Cricetulus griseus: one gene and its partners. The protein of the gene in region 4 interacts with the protein of the main gene of each other region in a biochemical or structural test. Links are inferred from orthologs where the notes say so. Each region holds a gene or a part of one and is shown on either strand. Other genes may lie near its edges. The genes, in order: Rnf4, Pias1, Pias3, Sumo1, Rnf111, Rad51 and Usp25.

Region 1 (3,698 bases), on a different chromosome or scaffold from region 4:
GGCTAGAGAGATAGTTTAGAGGTTATCAATATTACTACTCTTGTAAAAGACTGAAGTTCAGTTCCCAGTATGCACAGGGCAGCTCACAACCATCTTTAACTCCAGTTCCAGGGAATATAATGACTTCTGACCTCTGTGTGCACTAGACACACATGTAGTGCACAGACATATATTCAGGAATACATATGAAATGGGGGGGGTGGCGACTTTCCATGAGGCCCCACATGGGCATTAATAGACACAAACTGGGTCTAATTCACATGCTATACTACACTGTCTCCACTGTCACACATTACAGTTCAGGATTCTGGCTCTTACCACTTTCCACGAGTTCTATGGGTTCTGCTTCCAAGGAAATCTCAGGGGTTGAAGTTGTTTCCCGAGAACGCTTCTGGGTTTGTCTAGAACTTACTGTTCCACCACGACGTTTTCTTTGAGGATTTCTCTAAGGTCATCAAGGGGGAAAAGAAGCAGTTGCATGAGCTCCAGATTTGACAGGGTTTCAGGAAGAGTTAAGAAGTCAACAGGGGAATGGTGTTAATACCCCCTCATATCTCCCCCCCTCTTTCTCTCTCTCTCTCTCTCACACACACACGCGCGCGCGTGCGCACACACACACACACACACACACACACACACACACACACACACACACACACACACACACGGCATGCATAACACACCACACCCACAAACTTGTAGCACCTCTGAAGCAGAAAGAAAAAGAAAATCCAGTGCTTTTTTGTTGTTTCTGCCTGATAAAAGGTCTTGCTGTGTAGCCCCAGCTCTTCCAGAACTCAAGAGATCTGCCTGTATCTGCCTCCAGAGTGCTGGGATTAAAGGTTTGTGTCACCATGTTCAGCTCAGAGTGCTATTTTTATACCCAGTAAGAAACTTTTACTGTTCCCAAACACTTCTGAATTTTAATCATATGTGCAACCTTGAAGAAGGTGCTCTGTCAGTAAGGAGTAAAGAAAGGTCAAAAGACCTTTAGGCAACCTTCTCTAGACCAACCAACACTTTGGGAGACTGGGCAAGAGGATCTATGTGAGTTCAAAAGCACCCTGGTCTACATAGTAAGTTCCAAGCCAGACAGTGCTATATAGTGACACCCTATCTCAATCATTCAATTGTAATAAAAACAAGTTCCAAGCAGTGGTGGCATGTGCCTTTCATCCCAGCACTCTGAGAGGCAGGAAGATCTCTGTGAATTCAAGGCCAGCCTGGTCTACAGAGAAACCCTGTCTCAAGAAAACAAACAAGGGGCTGAGAAGATAGCAATTCCTGGCACCCATGTGGCAGTTCACAACTGTCTCTAATTCTAGTTCCAAAGTATTGGACACCCTTACACAGACATTCGTGCAGGAAAAACGCCAATGTATATAAAATAAAAATACTTAAGTCATTAGAAAAAAGAAACCAACCAAAAAACCAAACCAAAACAAGCAAGCAAACAAACATATTCAACTATGGTTTGCAATCCCATGTATGGTCACATAACTAAATGGGGGAAGATGGGCTGTGAAAAAATATTTGCAACAGCAACATGTTTTCTGAACCTACAAAGACCAAATATTAATTCAAGACCAAATGCACCAAGAACTATTATTTTTCATATTATCTGTCCATGTTGCAGCTTATGACTTCACTACAGCTTTGGTTCTGAACACAACTCAAACTTACAGAGAACATGATGTCATGTCACACAATGCCAACACCTACTGCATATATTTTTTATTCTTACAGAAAGAGAATGGTTTAATTACAAACAAGATTTGTAGCATTTTCTTACCATTATTCTTCAGCATATAATTATCACCCAGTACATTCTTAGATTACACTGCTCTAGTATATTTTGCTTTTTTTCTTTTTCTCAAGATAGGTTTTCTCTGTGTATCAGCCCTGGCTGTCCTGGGACTTGCTTTGTAGATCAGGCTGGCCTGGAACTCACAAAGATCCTCTTGCCTCTGCCTCCTGAGTACTGGGACTAAAGGTGAGCACTACTACCTCTGTGTTTGATACTTTAAAACATGCCTTTAGAAATCCAGAGGCACAGTCAGCTGATCTTTGGAGTTACATGATAGTCAAGGATACATAGAAGACCTTACTTCAAAAACAAAAAAACAAAATCTGTGTAAATTAATGAGTTTCATAAAAAAGTCAATCAAATCAATTTTGGTTTGGGGTTAGGACAGAAGCTCCAATGTTTCTGAAATGGCCATAAATACTACACATTTATTTGAAGTGGCATTCTTAGAAATGCTGATCATGAAATCAAAATACTAGCTGGGCATGCCTTTAAATTGCATGCAGTGCTCAGAAAGCAGAGCTAAAAAATACCAAAGATCTATATAAACGGTCAGTCAAATTTTACCTTTTTTTGCTTTTTAAGAGAGGGTTTCTCTGTGTATGTAGCCCTGGCTATCCTGGAACTGGTTCTATAGACCAGACTGGCCTTGAACTCATTGATCTGCCTCCCGAGTGCATACCAACATGCATGGCTAATTCACTCTTTTTTCCTTTAAACATTTGTGTACATGCATGTACTTGTGCTACTATGCTTAAATGAAACTAGACGACAGTTTTTGGCAATCAATTCTCTCCTTCTACCATTTAGGGTCTAGAGACCAAGCTCAGGTTGTCAAGACTTGTCAGTAAGCACCTTACCTGATAACCGTCTTGCCAGACCAAGATTGATTCTTTATATAAGAGTATCTACCTCATTAACATATAATTTACTTTCATCTTAGTAAATAGTAATAATTTTTTAAAATTAAACATGATTTATTAATACTTGATCTGCTTGTGCATCTACATTACTACCTGAGGTCATAAAAATTTCCCCAAAGAAAAAAATTACAAGTAGAAAAAGTTCAGGATGCCTTACTCTAGAGCCCAAGCACCTCCAGTCTTTATCTGTCTTGCACTGAACCAAAGCTGATTCCCAGAGTAAAAGTGAAAATAGTCATTCTTTATTTTTTTTTTCATTTTATATACACGAATATTTCACCTGCATGCATGAATGTCTGTGTACCATTTCCAGGCCTGTAAAGGCCAGAAGAGACACAAAATCTTTAGAATTGGGAGTTACAAGCAATTCTGTGTTGCCATGTGAGTGCTGGGAACTGCATCCAGGTCCCCTAGAAGAACAGCAAATACTCTTGGCCTCTGAGCCATATATCCCTAGATCCAGTTTTTTGTTTGTTTGGGTTTTTTGAGACAGGGTTTCTCTACTTAGCCCTGGCTGTCCTGGAACTCAATAGACCAGGCTGGCCTTGAACTCAGAGATCCACTAGCCGCTGCTCCTGAGTGCTGGGATTAATGGCATGTGCCACCACCCACCCAGCCCTAGACTCAAGTTTGGTTTTGTTTTTTTTAAGCTTTGTCCCTGTGGAGCATGACTTTTTGTTTTGTTTTTAATTTTTATTTTATGTGCATTGTTATGAATGAGGGTGTCAGATCCCCTGGAATTGGAGGTACAGACAGTTGTCAGCTGCCATGTGGGCACTGAAAAATGAAAATGAATTCAGGGCCTCTAGAAGAGCAGCCAGTGAGTGCTCTTAACCACTGAGCCATCTCTCTAGCCCTCCAGACACAGCTTTAAAATTCTATTTAAATATTTTATTTTGTGTTTGTAGCCCATACACATCGTAACATGACTGGAAGTCAGAGGGCACTGAGAGATGTCAGTTCTCTCA
Region 2 (3,698 bases), on a different chromosome or scaffold from region 4:
GTGAGTCCCAGGATCAAACTTAGATCAATAGACTTAATAGCAAGTGTCTCTACTTGCTGAGCAATCTCACTAGCCCTCATTGAACCAATTTTTGGTTAATATTGTAAATAGAATTACTCTTGGACCAGGTGTGGTGGTGTACACCTTTAATCCCAGTACTTGGGAGGGCAGAGACAGGTGGATCTCTGAGTTCCAGATCAGCCTGCTATATAGAATGAGACCCTCCCCACCTCCCACCCCCCAAAAATGTTCTTTCCCTGAGGCCTCTCCTCCTCCTTTGTGGTGTGGCTTTCCTTCTGGAATTTTTTGAAGTCTTTATCCAATTTTAGCCTGGTGATAGCCACCTTGCTAGAATGAGTGCCACATGACAGACAGTTGAGCCACTAGTCTCCCCACTAGATTTGTTCAATGTAGACAATACATTTCTTCTTGTAAACTCGAACTGCTTGCCATTCTGCTTACCTTCATGCTGTCCTCGCACAACCCAGACATCCTCGCCCTTTCTGGGGTATGTGGATAGAACACTGCATGCCCATCTCAGCTGTTGGGAAAGAGGTCAAGACTAACCTTGTTCTGAATCTGAGAGGTAATTGAAATGCCTTTCACAGTTGCTGCCTGGGTCAGAAGCTGCAAAGGTATTAGACTTCATTTTGGCCTGCTTGTAAGGTTTAGAAAACTAGCTAAAAACTGCAACCTACTCACTATAAAGTTAACTCAGGTAGAGCACTTAGAGTGGAAAGCTGAGTGCACCTGATCATTGAAGCTGGCTATAGACATGTGTACCAGGAGAGATCTGCAGTGACTTGAGCTTTCCTTCACAGTAGCCCCATTTTTGAAGACGTGTAGCCTTGGTTTCCTAGGAGCCTCCCATCATGCTGTACCTGGGAGCTGGAGATTGTAGCACATGCTCATAACACCATCACTCATAAAGCTGGGGCGGTAGGACTGCTGTTAGTTTGGGGCCAGCAGTCCCCTAAACTAGATGACATCCTATAAAAAAAAAAAAAATTGCCATACAATTTCAATGTAGTAAGTGTTTTTGAGGAACCTAGAGACCCAGAGAATATGCTTAGATGATTCATAAATCCTATGACACATGAGGAACAAAATTTAACTGCAGGGATTCTTAGAGCCAGCCCCCCCCCCACAAATATCAGGATAAAACTGTATTGTCATATTTTTGTATCATAATACTCTGGGGTTAATTGTATGGCAATTTTCTCCTCTTCAGAATAGTAATGTAAACTCTGTAGTAATTTCACTATATTTTTTTCATCAGGAAAACTTTGGAGTCTTTAGAAATCTAATATTTCTTCTTTGAATATTTACTGTATAGTTCTTCCCAAAATAGCTGGTTGTTATGTTTGGAAAATTTCGTTACTTGCATTAACTATTTCCCTGATTTTTGCCCATGATGAATTGAGCCTAGATACAGCTCTGCAAATGCCAGACCTTTCTCTTTGTCTATGTAGATAAAACCTGGATGTCTCTAGCATCTTTTAAAGAATGATTAGGTAGCACTGTGAGTATTCATAACAGCAACTAGCCGCTAGCTAGAACACTAAGCCTTGCAGATCATTCACTGTTGTACATTGTAATATGGAAGTAAACTTGAGCCGTCACAGAATTGAAGGTTAGGCAGTCATCTCATAGCCACGAGATAAGCACTTCAGCATCTTGCCAAGTGTTTCCATTCACCCAGAAGTTCCATGCAGTTTGCTAGACTGGGATGTTGTTAAAGACCAGCAGTCAACTGCTTTTTCCGTTTCAGTCTTCTGATCATAAACAAAAGACACTGCTGCGGAACATGGCATTCTCTATAGGTATAAGAGGGTTACATTTCCTTTGGATGGAACACTTCTGTGCAGCACCTGAGTGTGTCTTAATGCTTATTGTCCCACTCAGAAAAGTGTAGTGCATCTCATAATTAGGATTCTGTTCCAGGAAATCTAACTCTGGTGTCTTTTGAAGTAATCTGTACTGTTAAAATATACACCTACCTGCAAGTACTTTATGTGGAGTAGTATTAGAGGCAAAAGCTAGGGCTGGGGATTTGGTTCATTGTACAAGCATGAGTTTAGATCTCCAGATACCATGTAAGACAGATGCAGTGTCATTTTGGGATACTTTGCCTTGTCTTGCTGCTTTGATTGGCTTCAAAGGCCCTATTATTTAAATTGTACCAATAGCCAAGCTAGACATTGGGTGAACCAAAGATAACTGCCCAGGGTTCACTCTCACCAAGTTCATAAATCTGCCTTCTCCTCATTGCTCAAGTTGCTGCATTCCCCTAGTTGTCTCTATTCGTATTTTCCTTACCATGGTGTCTTGGTTAGGGTTTCTGTTGCTATGATGAAACACCATGACAAAAACAAGTTCGGAAGGAAAGGATTTGTTTGGTTTATACTTCTATATAACACTGTTCATCATTGAAGGAAGTCAGGACAGAACTCAAACAGGGAAGGAACCTGGAGGCAGGAGCTGATGCAGAGGCCATGGAGGGTGCTGCTTAGTGGTTTGCTCCTCATGATTTGCTTAGTTTGCTTTCTTATCAATACTTAATAATTAAGAAAATGCCCTACAGGCTTACTTACAGCTCAGTCTTATGGAGGCATTTTCTAAATTGAGGTTTCCTCCTCTCAGATGACTTTAGTTTGTGTCAGGTTGACATAAAACTATCCAGCACAAAGGGTATCCCTAGATTTCTCACTACCTACCCCTTCAGTACCTACTTTGAGAGAGCCACCATCTCCGTTGTTGTGGGTACCTTTCACTCATGTCCTATTATAGTGATTCAGCTATGCATTGCTCCTGCATCCTTAGAGTGGAGGATGGCGATCTAAGGACTGTGGGGACTGTGAGTAGTGATTCCATTGATTCTGTCTGTTTCTCCTTCCAATCTCTGCAAATGCTCCTGCATGCCAAGTTATTTCTTACCATTTGTTTTGCTTTTTGTTTGGTTGGTTTTGTTATTTTTTTATCTATCATAAAAAGTAGGACTCATTGTGGGATACAGTTTCATTTGTTAAACTGTTAGAGTGACTGTTACATCTTCTAAACATTTCTTTCCACAGTATTTTAAGTCTTCCTCATCAAGCATCGCCTGTGTCCCGCACCCCCAGCCTTCCTGCTGTAGATACAAGCTACATCAACACTTCCCTCATCCAGGACTACAGGCACCCTTTCCATATGACACCTATGCCTTATGACTTACAAGGTGAGTCTCTGGTCCTTTGCTGCTGTCACACAGACTGAGGAATGCCTTCGCTCTGTGTGCCTGCAGTCTGAGGATGAGGGATATAGGAAAGAAGTGGAGATGGGGAGAACAGGGCTTTGAATCCCAGGAAAAATGGCCAGTCTCTTGGTGGCACCTTTGTCAGCAGCCAGCACCCACTGCTGTCGGAATCCTGAGGCAGTCGTCTTTGAGGTCTTGTGAACTTCCCAGTATTCTACAGGCTATTAGAACACTTCCTGCATGTGGCCTTCAGTTTGGTGGAGGTGAATGCTGGTTTTTATTCTTTGACTGAGGCTTCATGTAACAGATACTTTGTGTAACTGAGTTAGTTGTATTATGAGACATGGCCTCAAACTTACTGTCATTCTCCTGCCTCTGCCTTCCATGAGCTAGGATTTTAGGCTTGCACCATATCGTGGATGTGCTGTGTGCCATGGCACACATGTGGAGATCAGAGGACAGC
Region 3 (4,330 bases), on a different chromosome or scaffold from region 4:
TTTTCTGAGATGACTGAAGCAGGGAACTCTAGACAAAAAGCAGTCAGAACTAATTTGCAGTGCCCAGCATCCAGAGTGGACTGGGCAGAACAAGCAGATGAGTATGCCATACCCCTACGTAGCACCCATCCTTGTTAAGAAGCAACTCACCTTAGCTGCACTTGTATGGTATAATCACACTTGGCTCCTGGCAGAACCTCTCTGCAATAGAAAGAGAAATGTCAATTCAGAGGGTGGGGCTAGGCAGAGAGAAAGATGTCCAGGGTGCAGACAGAAGACAGGCAGAAGAACAAGAGACGATGTAGAACAGAGAAGAAAGGCAGAGGCAAAGGCAGGGGGGAAAGTCCCCACAGACAAGGCAGGGATGAGAGATGTACCTGGATGTGAGAATCTGCTGCACCTGCTGGGGAGTGAGGGCAAAGGTAAAGTGCGCTTCCTCAAACCTCTGGCTGGAGGTGGATGCTGAGGACACAAACACACAGTCATTCCCAAGCCCATGCCTGGGAAGCTACTTGCTCCCATCCCAGATTGCTGGTTCTACAACACTAAAATCTAAGAAGAAAAAAAAACCCGAGCCTGAACCAGAGTCCAGAAAGGAACTCTGAGGGACCATAGCCCAGCCATACCGAGGGTGGTGGGCCGGATGAGCTCCCCATAGACTTCGTAGAAGGGCAGCGGTTTCATGGTGACATCAGGGTGCACTGGCTGGGGCAGAGGTGGGTGCATGTCCACCTCGCGCTTAGGGCCCAGCAGGGCCCCAGGGGTTAGAAGGGAGGGAGGGATGGGAGCTGGAGGGCCAGGGGAGCCTACAGGGGAGGTGCCAGGGGGTAAGGAGAGCAGGGAAAGGTCAGAGGGCCCCAGGGCCTTCCTGGGAAAGCGCCTGCGGTAAAGTTCTTTGATCTTCATCTGGACACTGGGGGCACAGCTGGACTTGAGGAGATGCAGGGCCTTGGCCAGGAGCTCGTGTTTCCGTCCACTCTTGTTCCGGCCAGCGAAGCCAAGGAGCACCTGGAGCTCAGACACTCGGAAACTCATCACCATGTGCTAGGAGAAGAGCACAGAAATAATCCCATGCCACGTCACAAAAGCCTGTCCTGCTGATGACAGAAGCAGAACTCCTGGGGGGACAGTGCCTCTCCCCTCCACCCTCGGTGTTGGAAGGTACTTCTAAAACTAGTGCACTACCTCCAAGTAGCTGACCTGACTAGCTGAAACCACAGGGACCACTTAGCCCCATCCCCACCCCTGATCCAGACATTCCCTTAAGCTGATTATAGTCTCTCCAGGGCTCAGACTCTTAGGGTGTTCCTAGCCTCCTGGGAAAAGGATAGGACAGGAGGAGGAAGAGAAGGATTCGGGGCAGGCAGCCCCATGAGGAAGAAAAAGGCCAGGTGGCTAGAGGATTGTATACCACAGCCCGCCCCTCCCAATCACCTCAATCCATTTATTCTCCCCATATCTCTGAATTGAAGCTTCTATGGTCAGGAGTTTTAGGTCAAAGTTCAACATTTCATCATCATCATCATCTCACCACCACACACACACTTTTTATATTATATACATACCCACACTCTTTTAGTCCTGTTTTACTAGAAGGAAGCTATCAAAACTTGTAGGGGAGAAGGGTTAATCCACATGTCTAGGTAATTGACCTGATTTACTCCCTCATACATGGTATACACACCCACAGGGGTGGAAACCAGGGGCAAAGTTCTCAACAGAGATCCCAGAAAAATGATACTGATGTCCATGGACCACCGCACAGAAGTAAGCTCTTCTTTTGTTTGTTTTTGAGACAGTTTCTCTGTGTACCCCTGGCTGGTCTCGAAGTCACAGAGATCCTCCTGCCTCTGCCTCCCTAGTGCATGTGCCACCACTGCCCGGCTCAAAAGTAAGCTCTTAAAAGGTGGCTAGAACTCAAGCCTGTCTAGGACAAGGACGGAGCAAAGCCAGAAGATGGGGGAAGGAAGGTCCAAGGTTCCGAGGGATGTCCTCCTTGTAGGGCTCCCTTCTGTAAATGCCTACAAGACCTAGTCGTGGGCAGGTCATTAGCTCTCCAAGTTCTTTTCCTCTTGGGCTCCTTTTCAGGGATGTGATGAAAACCTTGTCCTTCTACCTTTCCATTCTCACCTCCTCCTATTTGTATTTTTTTTTAATTTCTCCGCTGGCTTTGTAACTTATTTTCTATCCCATGGCTCACACTCCTCCACCTCTCCCAAGACAGAGAGCCTCGTTAAGACAGTTCCCTCCCCTCAGCCATCAGGATGCTCCTGCCCCATCCCTTCAGGTACACTCCCATACAGCCCCGCCCCCTACGTCTCAGCTGCCAACTGGTACTTCCCAAGGCTCAGATGCCAACAGCAGCAGCCCGGGAGCCTCCATCCTCAGCCGCACGTCCCCGGGAGCCTGCCAACATTTGGGTGGCCTTCGGCTCCCATCCCTACGTCTCCCCTTTACTGCCGCATCTCTTGCCCCGATGGGACTCGCCCCTACGCCTCTGGAGCGGCTGTCTCTCGCCTGACGCTACCCTGCAAAACCTCCTACTAAAAGCGGCTACGGCCCACGTCCCCGCCCCCTATGCCGCGGGTGTCTCCCCCCCCCCCCCGGCGGCAGCGACAATTTTCCCCCTCCGCCCCACCCCACCCCTACATCTGCCCTGCGGGGCCCCGCCCCGGGGTTGCCGCCGCAGCCCCTTCTTCCCGCGGCCGCTGCCCGCGCATCCCTGCAGCCCGTCGTCCCTGACACGTCGCCCGCGCCCACCGCGGCCCGCGGCGCCCAGCCGGGTCGCCTCCCCGCCTCGGCGCGCGGCCGGGCGAGTCCTGACGGGGCTGGGGGAGGGGGCAGGTACCTTTAACTCGCCCAGCTCCGCCATCTTGAGACATCGCAGGCGCCCCAGCCCGAGCCGGAGCTCAGGCCCAGGGACCGGCGCAAACTCTCCGCCCCAGCGCCGGCCGCAAAGGCCGCCTGCTCCGCCCCGTCCGGCCCCCTACACCTCCCCTTCCCGGCCCCGCCCGCCGGGCTTCGGACGGCCGCCGGCCTCGCCCCTTCTTCCGCAGCCCCGCCGCCCGAGGCAAGTCTCCGGCGGCGCGGCCGGCCGGCGAGCGGCCGGCGGGCGGGCGGGCGGCGCGGTGGCCCCGCGGGGAGAGCGCGGCCCAGGGACCGCGAGGCCCTGCGGGTAACGAGGAGGGGGCGGGCCCGAAGGGACGGGCTTTTTTTTTTTGCGGGGGGGGGGGAGCCGAGGAGACTTGAAAGACGGAGGGAAAAGCATCCGGAACTGCCCTGCCGGGGCTCCACCGCGTGGGGGAGGGGCGGCGAAGTTGGAGCCCGTGTCCCGTCGTCGTCGTCCCCTCCACCACCCCCCCACCCCGAGCTGCTAAAAGTTTAGCCCGCGAAACCCCCAGAGTTCTGCCAACTCTGGGAGTGCGGCGCTCCTGCCCGGTTTAGGGGGGAGTTGGGTGAGATGGCTGTGGCCGGTCCTTCGCCTCCTCCCCCGGACACACAGCCACTCCGAGCGTAGCTCCTGCTGGCGCCACACGACGCCAGGCTCGAGCAGCCACAAAGTTGGGTGCGGGAGGCCAGACTTACCTGCAGAGTTGCGGGAGTGCGCCCCGGCGCGGAAAGGGCCCGCGCTGCTCCCGCAGGCTGTGCAGCGAGAGAGCGGTCCGGTCCCGTCCGGCAGGCAGGCAGGCAGGCAGGCAGGGGGACGCCGCAGCCGCAGCTCCGCCCGGACCAGAGCTCCTCCCGGCCGAGCGTTGCTGCTGCGGCCGCCCCCTCCGGGATAAACCCGCCAGGACCTCGGAGAGGGGAGAGGGGCGGAGCCCAGGAGCCCGGCGCGAGATGTTAACTCTTGGGAGCGCTTAGGAGAGAAGCTTTCCAAAAGTCTCGGTGACCCTGTGATCCCTTGCGGGAGTGTAAGGACTGGGTTGGGCAGGGAGGCAGGACTGTGTGCACCGGGAACCTGGTTGCTTAAAAAGGTTCTAGGATGAAATCTCCATCTGCCTAGGGGAAAGCCTAAGGCTACAAATGGAAAAATAAACAATGCAAACCCTACAGATGGCCCTCTATCACCCGACCTTCAAATGTGCTTACAGTAACTAGGTATCTCACAGTTTTGGTGTCCTTCAAAATGAACACAGGGGAGGAACACGAACAAAGGAAACATTTTTGTCCCTCATTGAAATGCCTACTCCCTCCTCCAAAGCTTTGCCCTTCCCCAGTAGGCCACGCACTCGCAGACTAGAGTAATTCATTTCTATGTTTATGAAGATAGCGACTCTAGGGCAGTGTGCCTTATATACTAGTTATTGTAAAACAAACAAAACTCCACATT
Region 4 (4,276 bases):
TTGTCCCAGCACTTGGAAGGCAGAGGCAAAAGGATCTCTGAGTTTGAGGCCAGCCTGGTCTGCAGAGCAAGTTCCAGGACAATCAGGGCTACACATAGAAACTCTGTCTTAGAAAACAAAATAAATAACCCCTAAAATGTTAGCATACTTTTTCTTCAAGTCAAAATTTCTAAAAGTAGCACTATTTCACACTCTTGCATATTGCTTTACTGTGTAGCTCAATTAAAAAGACTTGTTTTGGGCCAGGTGGTGGTGGCACTTGGGAGGCAGAAGCAGGCAAAGTGAATTCCAGGACAGGCTCCAAAGCTACAAAGAAATCTTGTCTTGAAAACAAAACAAAACAAAACAAAAGTTTGTCAGGTATTGTGATGCACATCTTTCACTCCAGCACTCAGAGGACAGAAGCAAGCAGACCTCTGTGAGTTCCAGGCCAGCCTGAACTACAGAATGAGTTCCAGGGCAGCCAAGGTTACATAGTAAGACCCTATCTCAAAAACAAAAGAAAATCCCAGCACTTGGGAGGCAGAGGCCAGCCTGGTCTACAGAGCAGAGTTCCAGAACAACCTCCAAAGCAATACAGAGAAACCCTGGGGGGGGGGGGGGGGAACAACACGGGACAAAAAAAAAAATAAACAAATCACACATGGACTAGCCAGGTATGGCATAACTCTAATCCTCCCTACTCTGCAACGATAAGTGAGGGAGGAGTATTTATTCCGAGTTCAAAGACACCTTGTGCTACAGAATGAAGTTCAAGAACAACCTAGGCAACATAGTGAGACTAAGTATAAGAGATTCGGATCTAGCTCAGTGGTATAGTGCTTGTCTGGCATGTACACATGTGAGCCCTAAGTTCAGTGCCCAGTAACAAGTACTACACCCTAGTGTGGCTTCACAGATCCCCTGAAAACAGCCTGTGTCCTAGGTTCTCTTTTCCTTTCTCCATAATCTTTTTTTTTTTTTAATAGTTTTTCAAGACAGGGTTTCTCTGTGTAGCTTTAGAGCCTTTCTCCATATTCTTAAATGATGTGAGTTCAAACTAGAGCAAAAATAATTTTAAAATTTCTAACTGTATGTTGCCCTTCATCAGGCTGACATGCCTTCTAGTTCCTTCTAAAATAAAAGACTGATGAAACTAAGCATTTACAGCTCATCTTTCCTCCCTTACTCGGAACTATCTGGAGAGATATTCATAAACGAATTTCTATCCAGATTAAACAGAATTAATCCAGATTATTTATAAACAAATCTACCCCACAATTAATCTACATTATGGATAGGCTACAAAAATAGAACCATATTATCCAGGTGGTGGGGAAGCATGCCTTTGATCCCAGCACTCAGGAAGCAAAGGCTGGGAATCTCTGAGTTTGAGGCCAGCCTGGTCTACAGAGCAGTTCCAGGTTAGCCAAGGCTACACAGAGAATCCTGTATCGAAAAACAATTAAATAAATAAATAAATAAATAAATAAGATTAAATTAAAAGAAAACAGTTCAACTACACTGTGGTGCTGAATGAAAAGTTTACTGAATAATTATCATTATAGACAAACGTCAAAAAAAATTTGAAAATTCAGTCCTCTAAGCAAACAAAAGGAAAAACAGATAAAAATCCTATGTATTAAAACTAGCCACAAACGTGGTAAACAAAAATGGGATGAAGGAAATTAAGGTGGCAGTATTCCTAATTTGAATGCCAATACCATGCAAATTCTTAACATTAATACGGAGACACAGCATTTTACTATTAATTGGCAGCTTTCTGTAAACATTCTGCAGCTGTAAATATTCAGTTTTTCTATTTTCCTCAAAAATATCACCTGGAAGAGGGTGATATGGAGGTGCATATAACCAAGATACGTCGTTTACGTGTATAAAATTGACTATGTTAAAAAAAAGTGCCATTTTTGAAAATGTAACAATCATAAGCAGGCTAATGCCCAGATGAAATAAATGGCTTGTTGGTGGTGGTACTCTAACCTAGTTTCGTTTGTTTCTCGGTTATTCTGAACTCTCCTACAACTAGAGAGTTGATGGACCAATCCCGAGTAAGAAATGGAAAGTACAGAAAAAGAGCCGACCGATCCGCACCCCCCAGATGGAAAAAAAAAAAAAAAAAAAAGACGCAGAAGGGAGCAGAGGCGGACAGGCCCTCCCGGCAAACACAACGGAAAGCAGCGTCTTCTGGGTCCCAGGAACCTCAGGCCAGGCTTCCTCTCCGCCCCCCACTCCGAGACCAAGAACCCAAAGTGGAGTGGAGCAGCTTTTCGGGGCTACCTACCCTCCCAGTCAGGGATTCCCTCCCGTTACATAACTAGGCCTGGGGCCCTGTTTCTGCCATCGGTCCTCTGAAGGGAAACGGTCGATTTCTCTTAGGTTGCTCTCGGGGACAGAGGAGCGGGCCTGGGCCCCCGGCGGACCCGCGAGAAACCTGGGAGCCGTCGAGAGAGCCGCGGCGCGGGGCAGCGGGAGGGGGGCGCGGGGAAGGCGGCGGAGGGCGGGTGTTCCCCGGAGCCCCGCGGTCCCGGGCGGCTGGGCCCGACTCGGCCGGGCGCTCCGCGTCCCTCGCGGCCCCCTCCCCAGCAGCAGCCCCCTCCCCCAGCTGCGTCCCCTCCCCCGCGCCGCGGTCCCCGGGCCCAGCCAGCGGCCGACAGCTCTGAGCCCCGATGCCCTGGCCCAGTACCTGGTCAGACATGGTGATGGTGGCTTCGCCCGGGGGTCTCCGCACCACAGCGGCCTCCGGCAGGCAGAACCTCACTCTGAGGTTTACAAATCTGTCTCTTCCCCACAGCACAACACCGCGGCTGCAGGGACTTCCGCTACGTATTGCGTCACTTCCGCTGCGCGCAAAGGAGACTTTGGGAAGACGGGAAAAGGAGGCGGGAAAACGCCTTGGGGAAAGGCCTTGGGGCGTCTGACCTGTAAAATTGCTTGCCCGGAGCAAGAGAACGACTGTGTGTTCTGCCGCTGGGAGACCCGGCCGGCTGCCTCAGCCCCCTAGGGAGACCAGGGCATCGCCACCAGGCTGAATGTTTGGGGTCAAACCGACATCCTAGACTCCTCCCTCTCGGACACCTTGCGCGCTTCTCCGAGCTAAACCAAGTTCTTTTGTCTGCTCCCAACCTTACTAACCGTCCCTAAATATAGGGAATCGCCGGTATAATATTTTTATTACCTTCTCTTGTTTGCTGCCAGCACACTCATGACCTTGATTTAGGACCACAACGAAAAGACGACCCCTTAGAACACATATTTTTTGTTTTTATTTTTGTTTTTTGAGCAACCCTGGCCGCTCTAGAACTATGTAGATCAGCCTGGCCTCGAACTCACATAGAGTCTCCTACCTCTGCCCCCAGCTCTAGGACAGTTTTAAGAGCTGTAGATGACTAAAATGTTGAAAGTTTTTAAGTTTGAAGTTATAGGCAGAAGGAGCTACCTCCAACCTATTAACTATTTGCCTTTCGTCACAGAAAGACCTAAAATTCTTTGACTACCACGACCTTCTTGCACAGGCATTAAGTGTGGATTACGGATATATAAGTAAAAAGAGTAAAATTGAAAAAATAATTGTTGTGTGTGTTTTTCCGATACAGAGTTTCTCTGTGTAGCTTTGGAGCCTGTCCTGGAACTCTGTAGACTATTCTAGACTCTGCTGCGTTAGAGGCATGTGCCACCACGCCCCCCAACCCCCGGCAAAAATGAAAATTCTAAATAAATCAATAACCTTTCACAGTATAAGACGTTAGTAAAAGAATCTTTTCGGACTGGAGAGATGGCTCAGAGGTTAAGAGCACTGACTGCTCTTCCAGAAGTCCTGAGTTCAATTCCCAGCAACCACATGGTGGCTCACCATCCCTTATGAGATCTGGTGCCCTCTTCTGGTGTGCAGATATACATGGAAGCAGAATGTTGTATACATAATAAATAAAATCTATTAAAAAAAAAAGAATCTTTTCTTAGGGGCTGGAGAGATGGCTCAGGGTTTAAGAGCACTGACTGTTCTTCCAGAGGTTCTGAGTTCAATTCCCAGCAACCACATGGTGGCTCATAACCATCTGTATTGTGATATGGTGCCCTCTTCTGGCATGCACTGTATACATGATAAATAAATAAATCTTTTAAAAAATCTAGGAAGTCTTTATTTAAAAAAAAAAAAAGAATCTTTTCTATAGTTAGTAATGAGGCGACTAGAGATGGCCCAGCGGCCAAGGAGCACTGGTTGTTCTTCCAGAGAACTCGGGTTTGATTCCCAACACCCACATACTCATTCACACCT
Region 5 (4,303 bases), on a different chromosome or scaffold from region 4:
TCAGTATCATGTATGATTTGGGAATCATTTGTTGTGAAAAACACCACAGACCATCTTTGTATCCATGAACTTAGCCAAGCGAAGTAAAAATATACTTTAACATGCAATCCATAGTAAAAAGTATTGGACTTTTCACAGTTTTGAAATGTAGTTCTTAAAATTGATGTAGCCAATACAAAGTCAATAGCGCTTTATTTCAAGTGTTCAAGAGTCGTATGTGGCAAGTGTGTCTACCTTAATTAAGGAATACAAGTCAAATCTTTAAAGAGGAAAAAAAGGAGAGAGATGAAAACAGAGGTTTGAGACATCATGAGTCAACGGCCTCAATAGTCCAGGTGGCATCCTACTTTTAGAGAGAAGCCATTGGGGGACTGAGGAAATCCAGGTCCAATGCTCTTTCATTATTCCTCGCTTATAATTTAAAAACACCTTCTTCACTCAATATGGAGAACATGAGTGAATAAAATTATTGAAGAGCCTGTGTCTAAGGAGGGAATTAATGCCTACTGAACACTTAATTGGTAATATATGGAGGTTTATATAAATCGCCAAATTTGACCTTAAAGATGGTTTTAAAGCATATAAAGTTATCCTGGTTAATAAAGGAGGAAACTGAGATTTATAAAGGTGTTAATATATCAGCTTTCTGGCCAGAAGTCTGCCTGATTGACCGCAGAGGCCACGCTCTGTCCTTATGTGTTGCCTCCTAGGGCACGCAATGAAACATTGCAATCATCTTGTTTTGTGAGGTAATTAAGAAGTGTTCTCAGATTGTATAGCCAGAGCTTCCAGGCTATCTAATACCACCCTTGAACTGATTTTGGAAACAATTCACTTGAACAGCGAGATGTGATCTCTAGTTTGGGTGTCATTTGCTGGGAAAGACACCACGTTTTTGCTTTAAGAGCGCTGCAAGTGCAGCCGGTAAGATTTAGAAGAGAAAAAGTAACCAGGATGTAGGCAGAATCATGTTGAAGTATTGTTGACCCCGAAATCACCGAAGAAAATGAACCCTACGAGCTTCTTCTTAACGTAGCTCAACAGGGCCAACAAACAGTAAGAGAAAGCCAGTGCAAAAGGGGAAAGGCTAGGACGCAGGGGGGCGGGCCCGGGGGCCGAAGGGGGGCGAGCCCGGCAGGCGAAGGTCCGCGCACGCGCAGACATACGGACGTGAGAGGGCGTGAGTCCGGCGCGCTTGCTTTCCGAACTGTCGTAAAAGGGCCCCGGTGTCGCGCTCGCGCAGTCGGGGAGGGCCGAGCCAGGCTGCGGCGGCGGCGATGGTGGCGGGGCGCCGGGACTGCGCGGCGTAGAAACGCCGGCCGTTCAGGGTCGCGAGCGCGCGTGGGCCACGATCGGGCGTTCCGAGCCGGGTCGGGCCGAGCCGGGCTCAGCCGCACGCTTGGCCGCGGCGTTGACAGACGCCCTCCCGAGGAGAGCCACCCGGGCCGCCTCAGCCTCGCCTCGCCTGGCCGAGCGCTGTTTGCCGGCCCGCGCCAGCGAGCCCCGGACCTGGCCGCACGGGGGCTGCGGACTCGGGTGAGGACGCCGGAGGAAAGGGGGGTGCGGGGGAGGGGAGCGGCGCCGCGGCGCTTGCGCGCTGCGGGGGAGGGGCCGAGCTGTGGGGAGAAAGAGGAAGGGCCGCGGCTGGCGGCCGGGGTCAGCGGCAGGGGGATGTCCGCGGGTCCCGGGCGGCGCGGAGCGGCTCATTGTGTCCGGGCGAGAGTCCGCCCGCGGACACACCCACAGCCTCCTAAGCGGGAGGGGGTGAGGGGATCGCACCCTGTCGCCGCTGCCCGCCGGCAGGACGGGGGCTGAAGGCCCAGGCGTGGGGGTGACAATGGAGTAAAGAAGGTAACCCGGGCCGAAGCCGGGAGCCGCCCGGTGCGGGCGAGCACGCGCAGTCCGTGGAGCAGAAGACAGACGCGTCTGATATTGTGTGGAGCTGGCTGGTTAGTCATTAAAAAAAGATGTTTTCTTTATCCTGCCTAGATAATTGATCGGAGTCAGCAGCGGTGCGGTGAAAGCATCGGGTTTTGTACTGAGAACTAGAGGTTTGTCACCACATCTCCTAGATTATAGGGCTTTATAGATAATGTCTTAAAGCAAGAGTGACTTTTTAGCGTCTAAAAAAAAACAAAACCAACCAGGAAGTTATAGCGCCTTCTTTTAATTTGCTCATGTCTGTAGTGTGGGGTGACTCCATTGTGTTGTTGAGAGCTTTCCTATTCCTTGATTTATGTACAGAGTGAGTTTAGAACTCCTGAGTAGCGGCGAGCCAGCTGACAGACTTCATTGTAAAAGTTCTGATAGCTCTTGAACCAAACTTTGTTCCATTTGGCATTTTATCTTTAATTTTCTTCTTTTTGGTACCTCTTTAACCGAAAGGAACAGACTGGGAAAAAGATGAGCTGAGGTTCCACCTCCTTGCCCGTTTGTGTTTATCACGTGAGTTTTGAGTTTACGTAGACATTCTTTCCATAGTTCTGATTTTACTTAGCTTCATTAGGATAGGGGTCTACATTTAAAAAATCCTTCATATGGGTGTATGTCAGTGTGTGGGTCTGCATGTGAGTGCAGGTGCCCGTGGAGACCAGAAGAGGATCTAATGTTCTAGAGCTGGAGTTTTAAGGGAGGCTTTGCACTGCCCTGTGTAGGCGCTGGGACCCCCAAGTTGGGGTCTTCTGCAAGAATAAACACTCTTGACTCCAAACGGTTTCTCCAGCTCCGGAACCATATTTTGATAGTTTGTTACTATGTGATCTTTGTTTTTGCTTTTTCTTTCAGTTAAAAACATTTATGTAGAAACTGGTAACTATGGTATTTTGTTACATTGTGACACAGGTTGAGGAAGCTTCTACTCTGAAGAGAAACAAATTATTTAGCTTTAACTACTACTTTTGTAGCGGGAGTGCTGGGCGTGATGGCTCAAACTTTTAATCCCAGCTCATGAGAGTCAGGGGCCGGGGGATCTTTGTGAGTTCAAGTCTAGCCTGGTCTACATAGTGAGTTCTAGGATAGCCCTAACTATGTAGAGAGACCCTGTCTTGAACACCTACCCCGAATGTATGTATAACTCTTTTGCTACTCTCTTAGGGTTTAACCATGAACAAAATATTTTGTTGTATTCCGCTGGCATGTCACCTAAGATTCTCTGTAGTATTTGAAAAAATTAGTGAGGATATTTGTGAACTGGCCCTAATGACATTGAAGAATATTAGTAAGAATAGTCTTTTCTTGCTAGTCAGGGCTGTGTCATATGTGTGTGGTTTCTTTTGTCATCTTTTCCCATTGGTCTCTGTCTGTTGGTCACTAGAACTGGTTGGCCTTCAGCTCCTAGACTCAGGGATCTTCCTGCTTCAGCCTCCTAGGGAGCTGGGGCTGCAGGTTTTTACCATTGTACTTGGGTCTAGAGTTTGTGTTTCATGAATGCTATAATAAGAATACTTTCTTTTAATGAAGAATGTATGTTAGCTGAGGTTACGTTCAGCAAGTTTCACTTTGGTGCTCCGTGTTTGTGAGAAATTGAGAAATGCTTCTATGCTTCTACTGATGTCCCAAGAGGACGGCAGTTTACTTGCATGAAGCAAAGGAACAGTAAGTTATTCAGCAGGCACATCTGTGTATTTTTTTGAAAATATGGACTAGAAAGCTCATTGCATCAAAATGTTTAGAGCTTTAAGTGTTTATTTTATATATGTCATGTTAAGGAAGGCCTTTGGTATCATGCTTTAGTTATGGCTTATTTGTATGCCCCCCTGCTTTGACCCTAACCTGGTGGGCTGGGACTTTAATATGACTGACAGAACAAAAAAATAGTAATTAAGGCTGGGTGGTGGTGGCTCACGCCTTTAATCCCAGCACTGGGGAGGCAGAGGCAGGCTGATCTCTGTGAGTTCGAGACCAACCTGGTCTACAAGAGCTAGTTCCAGAACAACCTCCAAAGCCACAGGGTTTCTTTTGTCATCTTTTAAAAACCAAAAACCATCTTTTGTCTTAAAAAACCAAAAAAAAAAAAAAAATGTATTGTTAACCTTTCCTGGCCTATATCCTTCCCAATTAGTAAAATTAGTGTAAGATTGATATATGTTGTTTATTTCTGGCCTCTGTTTTTGGGTGTATGTGTGTGCCACATTTAATAGCTTCTATTTTTAGTTCTTTTGGTATTCACTGTTGGATTCCATAGATCTCCAGAAAGAAATACTCTGTGGGAAGTGTAAATGCTGTCATGGTGCAAATGAAACACATACATATGCATTAACCCATGATGAAGCCATATTTGTTCCACATAGTGCTGTCCATTGGA
Region 6 (3,698 bases), on a different chromosome or scaffold from region 4:
ATTGGCCATGCAGCATTTTATTAAACCAATAACAGTGGCACATCTTCACAGTGTACAAAAAATTTTTTCCGCAACATATACACTTGCAGGAAAAACACTCATACACATAAAATAAAACAGATAAAATTTAAAAATGAAAGAAGTCTAGAGCACAGCTCAATAGCAGAGTATGTACTTAAAGCCTACATGAAATCCTGGGTTCAATTCCCAGCCCAGAGACAAAAGTCAAATCAAAACAATATGCAGCTCATATTCTTATATTTTGGGTTGTGAGCCTAAGCTTTAACAGTTGAGCCATCTCGCCAGCCCATAGTTCATATTCTTACCATGGAGGAATAACAACATTAATATTTTAGTGCATCTATTCTAGTGCACATTCTATACATGCATACAAAATACACATATTTTAATGGGGCCCTACCCCCACTCCTGGATTTATATACTGTTAATGGCTAATGGGGGAAAGAAATGTTTTCTTTAGTGGTGTAGCTACTGTGAGCAAATGCTCACCATGGCACTGTATAATGAAACTCACTGCATCACGTCAACCCCCAAGGCCACGGAAGTAGTTGTTCAGGGGAAAGAAGGGGATCAAGAGTAGGAAGGAGACAATTGAGGATGATAGGGTATGATGAAAATATATGTGTGATGAAAATATATGCGTGATGAAAATGTAATAATATGCATTAATATAGGCTAAGGAAAGCATTAGAAGAGATATGAATGTATATTGTTAACGTGATTTTTTTGTTGTTGTGATTGGACCCAAGGCTTTCAGCACACCAAGCTATCACTCTGTCACTGAGCTACATTCCCAACTCTCACCTGCCTTCTTATATAAACATGTTATCAATATCATTACCTCTCTCTCTTTTTTTCTTTAGAAGTACTAATAATTAACCCAGGGCCTAGCACATGCCAGGCAAGTACTTTCCCCTGAGCTATATACCCAGTCTCTTTGTACTTTGAGGCAGGGTCTCACTAAATTAAGTTGTCCAAATTGGCCTTGATGAATTCACTATGTCAGAGACTGGCCTCCAACTTCCTGTCATAGACCCCACAGTAGTTTGAACTGCAGGCTTGCACCTAATGATGTGACGTCAATATTCTTCTAAATTGTTTTAGTGGCTACATACATAATAAACATATTCTGGGGTCTGGAAAAATGTCTCAATGGTTAAGAGCACTTGTGCTACCAGAAGACCAAGGTTTGATTCCCAGGACCCACATGTTTGCTCACAAACATCTGTAACTCCAGTTCCAGGGGATCTAACACACTCTTTTAGCCTCTGAAGGCATGTATGTGGGGCACAGACAAGCATGCAAGCAAAACACCCATACACATAAAACAAAATAATTTTAAAGAGGAAAAATCTTTATGAGGAGAGATCATATTCAAAATAGTAAGGTGCATACCAATCACTTCTACTGGGAATGTTAAACAGTATTTTTGGCAGCATTTGTATCAAATTCCACAATATTGCATTCCTACAGGAAATCTGAATTTAAGATAAAAACTCCCAACAGCCAGGCAGTGTTGGCATTGCCTTTAATCTCAGCACTTGGGAGACAGAGGCAAGAGGATCACTGTGAGTTTGAGGTCAGTCAGGGCTGTTACTCAGAGAAACCCTGTCTTGAAAAACAAAAATTGCCAACAGTCACTTCTAGAAAGATGACAAGAGAATGGAAGAGGCAAATGGTGGGATAACTAAGCCTCAATGTGTCTGACAGCTGGCCTAGACAGATAGTAAGAGCATGTGCAGTAGATATTTCCTGACAGCTGCCAGAGGGCCTGGACAACAGCAGCAGAGTCTAACCAGAGAAAATGTAGACCTATGGACAGTGACTACATCCTCAGCAGATGCCAGCTCAGTGGATCCACCCCCTGGGGCAGAGTGGGAGGCATATAAAGTGAGCTTTATTGTTCACTTTGTTGTTTCAACTTGTTCCTGTGTTGTTGGTGTCTACTTGCCCCACCACCAAGGACCCTGAAACAGCAAACAACCATTCACTATATACTGTTTTGCAGTAATTATTCTCACTAATGCATCTGTCCTCCCCCACCATCACATAGCTATACTTACCAGAATTTTGTCTGCTTTGGCTTCACTAATTCCCTTAATATTTATGAGTTCCTTCTTTGGTGCATAAGCAACAGCCTCCACCGTATGGAAACCAGCTTCTTCTAATTTCTTCACATCATTGGCACTTATGCCACATTGCTGTAAGAAAACAATGGGTAACTTAGGCCTCTTGTCTAAAACGGATATTACAACTTAGGTATTTGAAGACCACTAATACACAAAAAGCCTCTAAAAACTTGTCTACATATGAATTATTAAATAACAAGCTATACACTTTTTCATCATCAAAACTAAGTTTTAGGCTAGGGAGATAGTGTCTGCTATTACCCTGAGGAGGTTGAGACACTTGGGTCCCTAAGACTCACTAGTCAGGCAGCCTAGCCTAACCAGTAAACTCCAGGCCAAAAAGTGTGTATCTTAAATAAATAAATAAATAAATAAATAGATAGATAGATGGCTCCTGAGGAAAAAATACTGCGGTTGACCTCTGGCTCCCATGTACTATCCCAGGCACATGTGTTACAGGCTCACAACTGCCTATAACTCCAGTTCCAGGAGGATCTGATGCCCACTTCTGACCTCTGAGGGTACTAGGCACATAGATGATGCACACATTCATGAAAGCTAGACACATATACATAAAATAATAAAACTAATCTAAAAAAATAAAACAACACAAACAAAAGCAGCTATGCTGGTACATGCCTAACACTTGGGAAGTGCAATCAGGAGGATCAGGAATCAAGGTTATCCTGAGCTACATGGAGAATTCAAGGCCATGCTAGGTTGCATGAGACCCTGTCTCAAAACTAAAATAAATAGAGGCTGTGATAAACACCATGACCAAAAGCAACTTGGGATAAAGTGTTTATTTCAGCTTACAACGTATAATCTGTCCTGAGGGAAGACAGGACAGGAATCAAAGTGGACTAAATATTTTCTCTGAACTTGTCAAATGCAAATGGACTATACATTGTTGATGAACCTATTGCCTATATATTGTACTTTCTATAAATAGTTTTTCTTATGTCAGTTGTAGCCTTCTTTTTGTATTAGACAAAAAAAGGGGAACTGTAAAGATATATTATTAATGATTTATTTTTTAAAGATTTTGTATTTATTTCCATCTCTCCAGCCCTCTATTTATGATTTATTAAAGCTTGCCTGAGGATTCAGAAAGCAAAGTCAGGCATAGAAGCCAGTCCTTAAGAGAAACAGTTCATGCCTTTGATCCCAGCACCTGGGATCACACAACTTTAATCCGAGAATTGGCGAAGTATGTAAGACAGGAGCAAGGTCAGTATCAGGCATTCATTCTCCAGCCACGTTGAGAACAGGAATACCCCAGCCCTCTGGAAGCTTGGCTGCTTTGCTTCCCTGATCTTCAGCTTAAACCCCAATATCTGTCTCTGGGTCCTTTATTAATTCATGTTACATCAAAATACAGACCTTGGAATGCTTACTGGCTTGTTCCTAGTGGCTTCCTCAGTATGCTTTTGTATACAACCCAGGACCATCTGCCCAGGGGTGACACCACCCAATGTTCTTCCACACTAATCATTAAGAAAATGCCCCACAGGAGCAGGGTGTTGGTGGTGCACACCTTTAATCCCA
Region 7 (3,698 bases), on a different chromosome or scaffold from region 4:
AGCGTATTTGGTTTTCTAAGTCTTATAAAATAAGGCAGAAATGAAACTCGCTTACTTTCTAAGGGAGAAGATGAAACAGAATACACATTAAGGAAATGCACTAAATGATCTTGAAGGGAAGGACAGCAAAGCTGATCAAGATGGAAAGCCGTGAGTACGGATATACCTAAGGTGCTGTTCTAAACTGCAGATCAGTGAGAAGATGCTCTTCTAAACTGTGGATCAGCAGGAAGACACAGTGATGAATCGTCTGCAAACGCTCCCTTCTCTACTCTAGCCTTGCCTTCAAGGTAGTGACTTTAACATCATTTACCTTGTGAGCACTTTTCATACATGTATGGGAATCTTTTATGAATAAAAGTCACTGGAAATATGATAATTTGAACTCAACTTTTGTTTTGTTTTGTTTTGTTTTGTTTTTGTTTTTTCGAGACAGGGTTTCTCTGTGTAGCTTTGGAGCCTATTCTGGCACTCACTCTGGAGACCAGGCTGGCCTCGAACTCACAGAGATCTGCCTGCCTCTGCCTCCCGAGTGCTGGGATTAAAGGTGTGCACCACCAACGCCCAGCCAAACTCAACATTTTATGTTATGAATATGAAGACTAAAATCAAAGCAGAGGGTAAAGTTGGAGGTAAGCAACCTGAATTACTCAAACCGCATTTCAGCCTGTAGACTTACCTGGCTGCATGACACCCACATTCTACATTTTATGCTGTTTCCTAAGGAATCAAGCAGTACTGTGGATGTAAAAACATCTGCACATACAGCCCTCCCTTGGGTACTTGATAGCACTGGCTCCAGTCACACTCCTATAATCTTCCCTCCCTGCCCATCTTATTCCCGAGTGACACTGCTGCATGAATCTTGGGAGGCCAGGGACACTAGTGTTATCTTATTTGCCATTCCCTTCAGCACAAAGTAAATCTCATGCTCTGTGTTGGAGTCCTTTAGCTCCATGTACAGCATCAGGGTAACAAGCTGTTGATAATCACATATTTAATTTCAATTTCTAAAATAATCATCTAAAGCCTATTAAAGGTGCAACCTAGTTTCTGAAATTATTGATCAAAATTTAAATCCAGAATGATTATCTATGACTACTATTATAAGCTCCCCAAAGCATATTTAACATTAAAAATCTAGTCACAAAACACATGCTTTCCCATCACAATGTCATAGCAGTTAAAATACCTTTCTAATCTTTGTTGTAATACTGTGAGGTAATCTTTAAGTCTTTTGATCTCTTCACGTTTAATTCTTGTTATTTCTCTGTTTCTGTGCATATACCTATATCAAGGAAAAAACGAGCAATCATTAGTATTCCCAAGTATCTTGGAAATAGATATGGTGTGCAGCCTAATTATCACAACAAAAGATCAACTGAAATTTTATAAGGTATCACATGTAAAACAAGAACTATTTTAACATTCCAAAATACAGTTATATAAAAGAAAATTAACATTCCCTTGACAATTAGTGAGATAACGTATATCAGTTAAGCTGAGACTCACTGAACTGTTGCAAAATTATACCATTCTAAATAAACCATACCTGTCCAGATACAAAACTTGGGGGAATTCTAATTTGTTGTGAATTTTTTCTGGTCTTCCCAATGCCTGGTTAAATTCAAATCTTGACAGTTCAAATGTTAATACAGGTGGCAGCTCAGTAAACCAATGCTGAAAGACAACAACAACAGACACTCAGAATCTCCCTCTCTGTTTTGCCCCATGGCACTTTTATGGATAGGGTGCAATGATGGTGCTGATGTCACCATCTGACACCACTGAGGAGGGAATACAATGGTTTCCTAACAGCTAAACTTCCTTTTGAAAAATTCCACAGCATTTGCAAATCCCAACAGTGGGTCTGACAATAAGAGGACAGAGGGAAGCCTTATCTCCACAAGGCTCTTCTTCCACAATTGTTCACATTAGAAATTCCAGCCAGAAGAAAAGGAGACACCTGTTGCCATTAAGACTCAAGAGCTCTGCCTTCTTCAGTCTTATGTTGAGTGATACTGAACTCAACCAGCTTGTCAAATCCCATGACTTGACTGAAAGGGAAGAAAATACTTGTCTGGTACAAATACTCACTGTTCTCGGGAAAACATTATCTTCCTATATTATTCTTTTGTCTTCTTATTTTTACCTTGAATTTTACAACTACACATTATACTAATTCAGGAAATAGATTTGTCATCAGTGAATAAAATTATGCTTATAAGAAACATATTCAGAGTATTCAAATACAAACTAGTGTTTACAGTGTTAAATTTCTTGCTGTTATGACCCAGTTGTCATCCACACATGCGCACATGAGTCAACAAAACTTCAAAAAACTTCTTTTCGTGAAAACTTCAAGATTTACAAAAGCCTACCATTTGTTTAAAAAGATGAATGTTTATATTCACAAACCAATATAGAGATGTAAAAAAAAATAGAACAAATGCTTTTTAAGTGTTTATTTTTATAAGCCCTACAACAAGATTCTGTTGAAGGAAATGCAGCACCTACTTCACAGTGTGTCAATGCTCCCAGTGTCAGGAGAATGCCACCACACCCCCTCAGTAAGTGTGGATGAGCTTAGACCTGAACCCAAACACAGGAATAAACATCTCAGGCTTAGCAAAAAGAAGTGAACTTGAATCTAGAGCTGCTACTTTTCTCCAAGTAAAGCTACTAGAAGTCATATACTTATTTGTTGCTATTTCTCCCTCCCCAAGCACTACTGATCACTGGCTCTGCTACACTTACCTGAACTGAATATGAGTAAGGTTTTGCCCAGGTCAGATATAAGGAACATGTTTTATAAGAATCACCAAAGACCTAGTATAATAAGTATGCTATGCTAGGTTTAAAAGAGAAAAGTCCCTGGAGATTGAGTTATGGGAGGTAGTGTGCTCCGAGCTTGGAACTGAACTCAGGACCTCTGGATAAGTGGCACAAGCTCGTAACTTTTGAGCCATCTGTCCAGCCCATTCCATTTAGTTCTTTCTCATTTCTAAGGTTAGATAAAAATTAAAACATTGTCTCTGATCTCTTATAGACAAATTCCTGATTCCATAGGATAATATTCCAAACTTCATTTGTGATATTCAAACAGGCCAGCATACTTTTAGAATTGTTACTTCAAAATTTACCTCAGTCCTTTAAATATCTTTCCAACTAACTTACTACACATTTTAACTGATGAGAACCCACAGTGGCTGGGAGAAGTGAAGTGACCAAAACTGTGGAAAGCAGTCTTCTACACATTTCTGTAGTACATGAGAGGATGCTCAGAGAATATTATGTAGCATGTCTGTATTGGGAACGCATTTTCTCCAATAGCAACACAGGTTTTTTCCTACTATAAAGTGAAAAAACTTCATTATCTTTGTCTACAGTTCATGAGCTCAAGATAAAAACCAGGCATTTCCTAAATTCACTTTAAGGAATCATTAATTACATACCTAGCCCTGAACTATTAATGTTTCAAGCATAGTAACATATAAATAGAAATTTATGTAGCACAATATTTTATTTCTAAACAAACAAGACCCAAATTCTTATTAATACCAATGGACATTATCATATAATCTCCATTGGGGTTGGAAAGGGTCTCATAGGCCAGGCTGTCTTGAAATCCTATATAGACCCCAGGCTAGCCTTGAACTCATGATCTTCCTGCCTCAGCCTTTCTGGTGCTGGTATTA

What was found.
Region 1: the proteins of Sumo1 (region 4) and Rnf4 form a complex in vitro, tested with the Homo sapiens proteins (5 studies listed by BioGRID, with this or other methods). The link is inferred for Cricetulus griseus from reciprocal best matches to the Homo sapiens genes SUMO1 and RNF4.
Region 2: the proteins of Sumo1 (region 4) and Pias1 form a complex in vitro, tested with the Homo sapiens proteins (6 studies listed by BioGRID and IntAct, with this or other methods). The link is inferred for Cricetulus griseus from reciprocal best matches to the Homo sapiens genes SUMO1 and PIAS1.
Region 3: the proteins of Sumo1 (region 4) and Pias3 form a complex in vitro, tested with the Homo sapiens proteins (2 studies listed by BioGRID and IntAct, with this or other methods). The link is inferred for Cricetulus griseus from reciprocal best matches to the Homo sapiens genes SUMO1 and PIAS3.
Region 5: the proteins of Sumo1 (region 4) and Rnf111 form a complex in vitro, tested with the Homo sapiens proteins (3 studies listed by BioGRID). The link is inferred for Cricetulus griseus from reciprocal best matches to the Homo sapiens genes SUMO1 and RNF111.
Region 6: the proteins of Sumo1 (region 4) and Rad51 form a complex in vitro, tested with the Homo sapiens proteins (2 studies listed by BioGRID and IntAct). The link is inferred for Cricetulus griseus from reciprocal best matches to the Homo sapiens genes SUMO1 and RAD51.
Region 7: the proteins of Sumo1 (region 4) and Usp25 form a complex in vitro, tested with the Homo sapiens proteins (2 studies listed by BioGRID). The link is inferred for Cricetulus griseus from reciprocal best matches to the Homo sapiens genes SUMO1 and USP25.

What each region holds. Positions count from the first base shown.
Region 1 is NW_023276807.1:103,330,482-103,334,179, reverse strand, and holds part of Rnf4 (E3 ubiquitin-protein ligase RNF4), read right to left. Parts: intron 446-3,698; coding exon 319-445; intron 1-318. UniProt on the Homo sapiens protein: E3 ubiquitin-protein ligase which binds polysumoylated chains covalently attached to proteins and mediates 'Lys-6'-, 'Lys-11'-, 'Lys-48'- and 'Lys-63'-linked polyubiquitination of those substrates and their subsequent targeting to the proteasome for degradation.
Region 2 is NC_048597.1:174,372,201-174,375,898, reverse strand, and holds part of Pias1 (E3 SUMO-protein ligase PIAS1), read left to right. Parts: intron 1-3,074; coding exon 3,075-3,217; intron 3,218-3,698. UniProt on the Homo sapiens protein: Functions as an E3-type small ubiquitin-like modifier (SUMO) ligase, stabilizing the interaction between UBE2I and the substrate, and as a SUMO-tethering factor. Catalyzes sumoylation of various proteins, such as CEBPB, MRE11, MTA1, PTK2 and PML.
Region 3 is NW_023276806.1:59,801,092-59,805,421, forward strand, and holds the start of Pias3 (E3 SUMO-protein ligase PIAS3), read right to left. Parts: upstream 2,999-4,330; 5' UTR 2,873-2,998; coding exon 2,849-2,872; intron 1,045-2,848; coding exon 627-1,044; intron 463-626; coding exon 378-462; intron 202-377; coding exon 151-201; intron 1-150. UniProt on the Homo sapiens protein: Functions as an E3-type small ubiquitin-like modifier (SUMO) ligase, stabilizing the interaction between UBE2I and the substrate, and as a SUMO-tethering factor.
Region 4 is NC_048595.1:413,930,855-413,935,130, forward strand, and holds the start of Sumo1 (small ubiquitin-related modifier 1), read right to left. Parts: upstream 2,841-4,276; 5' UTR 2,696-2,840; coding exon 2,684-2,695; intron 1-2,683. UniProt on the Homo sapiens protein: Ubiquitin-like protein that can be covalently attached to proteins as a monomer or a lysine-linked polymer.
Region 5 is NC_048597.1:182,047,365-182,051,667, reverse strand, and holds the start of Rnf111 (E3 ubiquitin-protein ligase Arkadia), read left to right. Parts: upstream 1-1,325; 5' UTR 1,326-1,536; intron 1,537-1,693; exon of another isoform or gene 1,694-1,949; intron 1,950-4,303. UniProt on the Homo sapiens protein: E3 ubiquitin-protein ligase. Required for mesoderm patterning during embryonic development. Acts as an enhancer of the transcriptional responses of the SMAD2/SMAD3 effectors, which are activated downstream of BMP.
Region 6 is NC_048599.1:59,371,602-59,375,299, forward strand, and holds part of Rad51 (DNA repair protein RAD51 homolog 1), read right to left. Parts: intron 2,223-3,698; coding exon 2,085-2,222; intron 1-2,084.
Region 7 is NC_048597.1:18,205,779-18,209,476, forward strand, and holds part of Usp25 (ubiquitin carboxyl-terminal hydrolase 25), read right to left. Parts: intron 1,681-3,698; coding exon 1,553-1,680; intron 1,289-1,552; coding exon 1,193-1,288; intron 1-1,192. UniProt on the Homo sapiens protein: Deubiquitinating enzyme that hydrolyzes ubiquitin moieties conjugated to substrates and thus, functions in various biological processes including inflammation and immune response.